2 linked regions of the Tribolium castaneum genome follow. The protein of the gene in region 1 binds, or shares a complex with, the protein of each later gene. Links are inferred from orthologs where the notes say so. Each region holds a gene or a part of one and is shown in the gene's direction. Other genes may lie near its edges. The genes, in order: FBXO11 and Cul1.

Region 1 (4,383 bases):
CGAATGTTTCCCTCATAGGGGTTGAATCGGACATCAAATACGTTCTCCATTGAGTAAATATATCATTCCTTTTCAAAAAAGGTTCATAAAGTCACCTATGAAAGTTAGACGTAATGTGCCGCTTTATATAAATAGTGAATGTCGTCAAAGTGACATATCCGTCAAACTTTTCTCAAACGTGATGTCATTATCAATTTCCACTCAAGCTTACGCTTGAATCGGACATATTGTACGGACGAATAGCTATAAATTATTCATACACTTCAAAATAACAATAATGTAATTTATACTTTCAATGAAAGATCTAATTATTAATAACTATTTTGCATTTTTATCAACCTTACTTAAAAAATAATTTGGTAAAATGCGACTTTGGCATTTACGTAGTTTTGAAACACCTAATATGTAAACGCCAACGTCGCATTTCCTATCTAAATTTGTTGTTATAAAGTATTTATGCAAAATTAGTAGTTAATGTAATTATACTTTCAATGAGAGATCTAATCACTATAACTATTTTACATTTTTATCAACCTTATTTTAAAAAAATAAGTTGGGGAAATGCGACGTTGACGTTTACATAGTTACATAGTTTGTAAACAACTAAAACTATTTGAAAGCTTATTATTTGATCTCTTCAGCTTGATTTAGTTAATCAGCGTTTTCAAACAAGTTAAAAAAATGTTAAAGTTTACTCTAATTATAACTTCAAATGATCACATAATATTAACATGAACCGTACACATTTTTTTGCATAAAATAAAATCCTTTGAATGTATCCAGATCCACTGAACAATTCTGCCGCGTTAGGGTCGACTGTAGATTATAACATACAACAACTATAAGCTGCAAAATTTGCATTGACCGAACATGCCCCATGTCCGAACGTACCCCGCACTCCCCTACTTGGGAATACATTTTGCTTGTCTTTTGTTATTTGAAGGCTCAGGTAACACACCTGGACTTTATCCTTTTATGCAATATGTGAAAATTATTTCAACTGTATAAACGGTTCAAAATATGAAAAAAAAATTTTCCCATGATAAAAAAATTCGTATTTTTAATATATTACTAATTACATTGAATAAACAAGTTAATCATTTCTTGTATTTTTTGTGTAATAAAAAGAGTAACGTAGTGACGTTTATTGGTCTTGTTCTTTTCTTTTCCTCCGCCATCCGACATTGAATTTGTCGTAGACTATACCGTAACGGGGAGCGGCGGGAGGTGCGCGGTGCGGAGGGCATCCGTCGCAAGCCTACTTGATTTTGTTCATGTTGTGTGAAAAGGTGTTTTTCGTGTCCTTATCCTGAAAGGTGAATGGATTACCTGTTGTGCGGCGACTTCCAGACGTGTAAACTGGCGACATAAGTCACCGACATCAGCAAGCATAGCCCGATGGAACGAAAACAATCAAAAATTCCATAGAAATCCTGCACCATTCTGACATTTTAACGGTCACGTGACGTCAAACCAGCCCGGTGATTGGTTGGTCCGGTTCCGTGGTTGTCGGAACGGTAGCGAATATGGCCGCCAGTGCTAGTTCCAGTGTCTCCTTTGTTTAGAGATTGGTTTTGGTGCTAGTGCTAGAAAAAATGCCGAGCGCCTCTTTCACGGCCTCCAGGTCGTACGTAAGGAGGTCCCGCAGGAAGGGCGCTAACAGGATCCCGACTCCTTCCAGGACCACGTCTGGTAAGTGTAGCTGCTGCGACCCGAATCCCCCTATTGTCACCTTCGAGAGAATGCGAAAACAGTTATTTGGGGCCCCAAATATCGATTTTAGTTCATCAAAGACTCTTGTGGCGGACGCATCTGCGTAAAAATAACAGGGCTGCCCACATCGCAACAACCCAAATAAGTCCAGATAACGATTTTTATCGTCGCGAAATATTTGTAAACATGGCAGGCAGCCCCACGCAGGGGCTCCACCTTACGCTCACTCACACCATATTTCATACATCCCTCAATATCGATTTCCATCAAGTGGCTAAATTGCCTTTTAATTGACATAAAAACGACCGAATTAACTGCACTAGGACCCCTCAATGTAAATACAAAACGTAATTAATTCAGTTGCAAGGTTTTATTTTTCGACTGTTGCTAAACCCGGTTAGATCATCACGTTTCAGCTTCAGTAAATCGGTATCCTTCATTTTGTTGGAAATTTTCTTTGTGGCATTTGGCAGATGAGTTTAATAATCTTTAGCCCGAATAACAGCACTGAAAGCGTGGTTTTGGTTGCTACTAAAAATACTTGTAAGCAAACATACGGTCGAAAACAAGTTAAACATAGCCAAAGCTGAAAAATTTTTCATTTCGCCAACAAGCAATGAATAATTGTTGAAATTTGTTTCGCAGCAGAGCCATGCGAACCTTCCTGTCCTGTACCTAACCAAAACATTCCAGCACCTACGGCGGCCGCTCCGGGCTCTGGGGGGCCTTCAGCAATGGCCCCTGGGACCAGCGGCGGCGCCATTCCAGCCCATCACTCTCCTTACGACCTTCGACGTAAGTCTCCGTCCCATCACGACGGGCCGGGGCCCAGCACCAGCGCCGCGACGGCAGGATCGCCCACTTCCCCGGCGACTCCGACGGCACCAGCACAAGGGTACACTTCCGCCATGCTTCCGGCGAGGAAACGTCCAAGACGGACTTGTTCCGCTTCGTACGAGAGTACGATCACAATTTTCCGAAAAAAATACCATTCTCAAAACGAGCTTTTGCAGATTGTACAAACACAGCCGCTCATTATCTCCAATACGAGCTGCCGGACGAAGTTTTGCTCACGATATTCAATTATTTACTCGAACAAGATTTGTGTCGTGTGAGTCAAGTGTGTAAACGGTTTCAGGCCATTGCGAATGATACCGAGATTTGGTAATAATTTGACCATTTGCTGTGAAATGCAACTTGATTGATTTTTTTTAGGAAACGCCTATATCAGAGTGTCTATGAATACGATTTGCCCTTGTTTAATCCGGCACCTTGTGTTTTCCAATTTATCAGTCCGGAGGAGTCTGATTTGGCTAATCCATGGAAGGAGTCTTTCCGTCAGTTGTATCGCGGGATACACGTTCGACCAGGTTATCAAGACTTGACGTTCAAAGGACGCAATCTTGTGTACTTTAATACGATACAAGCGGCTTTAGATTATGCCGATGAACGTAGTGGTAGTAATAGTACGAGCGGTTGTCTCTTGGTCAATAATAATCACACTGAGGGTACCACTCAAGGCGCACTCATATTTCTACATGCCGGTACTTATCGTGGAGAGTTCCTCGTAATCGACGACTCAGACATTGCTCTTATAGGTTTGTAAAATATTACTTACTAAAATGTCTTTATTGGCTATTTAACTTTACAATCCTTGAAATTATTTGATATTCTACCTTACGTATACTTACACTTCTTTATTTTTTTTCAATTTTCTTCTTGCACCTTATCTTTCTCTCCCAGGTATGCTAAGAATAATGCAAGCTTTAACGCACAACCTTGACTTACGTCTTTAATTGTTCAAAAACATTTGCTCGTCTCTTGATTAATCGTTTCTTCAAAATTTTCTCTATTTTTTTAACTTTCTAATTTTCAGTTCTTCTTTTGTAAGTTCGTTTATTTCCTGTAATGGTTCGACACTTTTGATCTCACTACAACTGTTTTGACTTCCCTTTAGTACTTCCATAAAGTGATCGTTCCACTTTTCCATACTTATATTTTCATTTATTTTGTCTTTACTTTTGCTTTCTTTATTTGTAAGATTCCACACCTCCAACTCTGTCCTAATTTCTTTTATTTTGTATACTTTTTTTTCTTCACACTTGTACTGTTTTCTTACTTCGGTCTACAAAATATTACTGTCGTACTTGTTACTTATCGAATTTTTTTGAAGGTGCGGCACCTGGGAACGTGGCCGAATCCGTGATACTAGAACGAGAATCCGAATCGACGGTGATGTTCGTCGAAGGTGCAAAAAACGCCTACTGTGGCCATCTTACGTTGAAATTTTCACCTGATGTCACATCTACAGTACCTCACCATAAACATTATTGTCTCGAAGTTGGAGAAAATTGTAGTCCGACTATAGATCATTGCATTATACGAAGCACATCAGTTGGTAAGTCTTGCGTTCAATTTAAAGTCAAAGTTTTGTACATTTTTTTTGTATTGATTAGTTGGTGCGGCCGTTTGTGTGAGTGGTGCCGGCGCAAATCCCGTCATACGTCATTGTGATATAAGTGATTGTGAAAATGTCGGCTTGTACGTCACCGATTTTGCCCAAGGAACGTATGAAGATAACGAGATCAGTCGGAATGCATTGGCTGGTATTTGGGTGAAAAATAACGCGAACCCGATCATGCGTCGTAATCACATACACCATGGAAGGGA
Region 2 (3,298 bases), about 13 Mb from region 1:
TAGCACAAAATCCGGTCACTGAATACATGAAAAAGGCCGAACAACGTCTCCTCGAAGAACAGAAACGCGTCCAAGTCTATCTACACGAAACAACAAGCGGCCGTTTAGCCAAAACCTGCGAAAGAGTCCTCATTAAAAAGCACCTCGACATGTTCCATTCGGAGTTCCAGCAGTTGTTGGACGCCGACAAAGACGAGGATTTGGGTCGGATGTACTCGTTGGTAGCGCGGATTCCGGACGGTTTAGGGGAATTACGGACGCTTCTCGAGCAACATATCGCAGCTCAGGGGCTCTCAGCGATTGAAAAATGCGGAGAAAGCGCCCATAATGTAACTAACTGTTACTACAACTCCCAGTTTTTAATAACCTGTATTTAGGACCCGAAAATTTACGTCAACACGATTCTGGAGGTGCACAAGAAGTACAACGCTCTTGTTTTGGTGGCGTTCAACAACGATAGCGGTTTTGTGGCGGCTTTGGACAAGGCATGTGGTCGTTTCATCAACGCCAATGCCGTTACCAAAAAAGCCAATTCGAGCAGCAAATCGCCGGAATTGCTCGCGAAATACTGTGATTTGCTGCTGAAGAAGTCGAGCAAGAATCCGGAGGAGGCGGAGCTCGAAGATACGTTAAACCAAGTCGTATGTAACGAGGTTTTGTTTTGGGTGGGGTTTTGATTGTGTTTTCAGATGGTTGTGTTCAAATATATCGAAGATAAGGACGTTTTTCAAAAGTTCTACAGTAAAATGCTGGCCAAGCGATTGGTCCAGCACATGTCGGCGAGTGACGATGCTGAAGCTTCAATGATCTCAAAACTGAAACAGGCATGCGGGTTTGAGTACACCTCCAAGTTGCAAAGGATGTTCCAGGCAAGTTGGTACAATTGGTTTTTAATTGGTCATTGATGACCCCGAGAATGAATGATTTTCTATTAATAAACAATTTGCGTTAATACGAGACATTTATAAACGATTTTCTGCACATTTATCATATCGATAAACAAACAATCAACGGAAATGCGAATTTAAACATAATTTTTTGCAAAGTGACTTTGGTTATACGCATTTCTTCCGTTTTTCATGACTGACTTCAAGGCCTGCTCTCCTTTTGGAGATTTCAGTGGTAACTTTGAACTGAAGGCGACTTTCTTTTTGTCTTGCTAAATTTCCAAGTTTTTGGCTAAAAATTTAATTTTTTCAACTTTTTATTTGACAATTTCCAAAAAATACAAATTGAACTTTAAATTTTTTTCTTGTTTTTTGTACGTTTTTCACTCAGAAATGCTTCTTTTTGCGAAAGTCCTCCGGAATAAGCCGAAAATTCATTAAAATAAGTCGGGAGATCTCAAATGATTATTATGAAATAATTTTGAAATTTCAAATGCTAAAAAATATTAAAAGTCACTACTTTAATGACGGTTTATGTTGCCATTTTTGGGCCATTTTATCGTTAATTCTTTCGAAAAACAGCCTTGAAAGCGTTGATTTTGGCGTAATCTGTATTTTTTTAGGACATTGGCGTGTCTAAAGATCTGAACGAGCAATTCAAAAGTCATCTATTAAAATCAAACGAAACCCTAGACATAGATTTTAGTATTCAAGTGTTATCTTCCGGATCATGGCCTTTCCAGCAATCTTTCACCTTCGGATTGCCGACCGAGGTGCGTTTTTTGCTTGTTGTAGGGTTGGGAGATAAATTGTACGTTTGCAGCTTGAAAGAAGTGTTCATAGATTTACAAATTTCTATTCCGGTCAGCATTCGGGCCGGAAATTAAATTGGCTGTATAACATGTCGAAAGGAGAGTTACACACGAACTGTTTTAAAAATAGATACACACTCCAAGCTAGTACGTTTCAAATGGCTGTGCTGCTCCAGTTCAACGTGTCTGAAAGTTGGACAATAGCTCAACTCGAGGAGAATACACAAATCAAAACAGATTTCCTAATACAGGTCATACAGATATTACTTAAAGCGAAGCTGATCACTTGCGATGATGACGAGAACGAGCTCGCGCCACACTCGGTTGTGAACCTTTTCCTAGGATATAAAAAGTGAGTTTACGCGCCAGGGGTGTCCCCCGATTTGAGTTTTTCTTCCAGTAAAAAACTTCGGGTCAATATCAATATTCCGATGAAGACCGAGCTAAAGATGGAGCAAGAAACAACTCACAAGCATATTGAAGAGGACAGGAAGTTGCTGATTCAAGCCGCGATTGTACGAATCATGAAAATGAGGAAAATACTGAAACATCAACAGTTGGTGGCTGAAGTTTTGAACCAGTTGTCGTCAAGGTTCAAGCCGAGGGTTCACATCATCAAGGTGATGATATTTCTCGTATTAGTTGTGTGTTTGATTTGTGTTTTGTTGCAGAAATGCATAGATATTCTGATCGAGAAGGAGTATCTGGAGAGGACTGAGGGTCAGAAGGACACCTACAGCTACTTGGCATGATTCAGCAAACGCAACTGTCACCCAACTGTCTTTGATTAACAACCGGCGGAGTCAACGAGTGGCTTGTATATTGTAAATATTCGAAAAATAAATTGTACTTTAAGTGATATGCTATACTAAAAAATACACAACTGTATTTATGTTTTGATTGAATTGTCCTAGAACTGTCAATCTGAGTTCTGGCGCTCTCTTGATATTCCTTTGAATTTTTGTTTTAATTCTGCTTTTACTTTATTAATTGTATAGAATCTGTTTATTTGTATTACTATGTGAAAAGAATACGAATGTAATTTAATTCACCGATTTTAAATAAATTGTTTTGACAAATTGCTGTTTGAGTTAACGCCACTTTAACACACATTGGAATACGATTATCAAAAAAACATAAATAAAACTATGAATAATTTATTTATTATTTTATTCTATATTAAATTGATGATACACCTTTGTTAATAGGAAAATGAAAAAATGAGAAAAATATCACAGTTGGCTGAATAATTTGACTTCGCGCCACCTTTCGGTGTGCTAGTGCAACATGCAATGACAAGTTCACAAAGGTTTCTTGAACTCGATTTTACAAAATATTGACACAGATTAGAGGTTATCTTGCTTTAATCTGTGACCATCGATAAAGACAAACCAACCCTTGAAACAACCACAACCACCATGACTCTAAACCTAACCAAGGAAAACCGCATTTACAAGAAACTTTTCACTTTGAAACCCTCCCAAAGAGACGGGTATTGGGCCCTTGCCCCTTGGACCAATTAATTGCCCTGTTTTCAGCTTAGTGCTAAACATCCACCACACCGACAGAAACGCGCAGAAGATCCGCTTTCTCAGTTGC

Evidence for each region.
Region 2: FBXO11 (region 1) and Cul1 share a complex: the UniProt entries of both Homo sapiens proteins name them as parts of the SCF(FBXO11) complex. The link is inferred for Tribolium castaneum from reciprocal best matches to the Homo sapiens genes FBXO11 and CUL1.

The regions. Positions count from the first base shown.
Region 1 is NC_087396.1:9,595,671-9,600,053, forward strand, and holds the start of FBXO11 (F-box only protein 11), read left to right. Parts: upstream 1-1,550; 5' UTR 1,551-1,595; coding exon 1,596-1,692; intron 1,693-2,144; exon of another isoform or gene 2,145-2,186; coding exon of another isoform or gene 2,187-2,256; intron 2,257-2,358; coding exon 2,359-2,673; intron 2,674-2,726; coding exon 2,727-2,877; intron 2,878-2,928; coding exon 2,929-3,311; intron 3,312-3,886; coding exon 3,887-4,111; intron 4,112-4,169; coding exon 4,170-4,383. Other genes in the region: Sras (CAAX prenyl protease 2), read right to left, coding at 1,330-1,442. UniProt on the Homo sapiens protein: Substrate recognition component of a SCF (SKP1-CUL1-F-box protein) E3 ubiquitin-protein ligase complex which mediates the ubiquitination and subsequent proteasomal degradation of target proteins, such as DTL/CDT2, BCL6, SNAI1 and PRDM1/BLIMP1.
Region 2 is NC_087396.1:22,569,748-22,573,045, reverse strand, and holds the end of Cul1 (cullin-1), read left to right. Parts: coding exon 1-329; intron 330-377; coding exon 378-641; intron 642-689; coding exon 690-869; intron 870-1,510; coding exon 1,511-1,660; intron 1,661-1,710; coding exon 1,711-2,051; intron 2,052-2,099; coding exon 2,100-2,319; intron 2,320-2,370; coding exon 2,371-2,451; 3' UTR 2,452-2,778; downstream 2,779-3,298. Other genes in the region: TBC1 domain family member 31, read left to right, coding at 3,118-3,191, 3,238-3,298. UniProt on the Homo sapiens protein: Core component of multiple cullin-RING-based SCF (SKP1-CUL1-F-box protein) E3 ubiquitin-protein ligase complexes, which mediate the ubiquitination of proteins involved in cell cycle progression, signal transduction and transcription.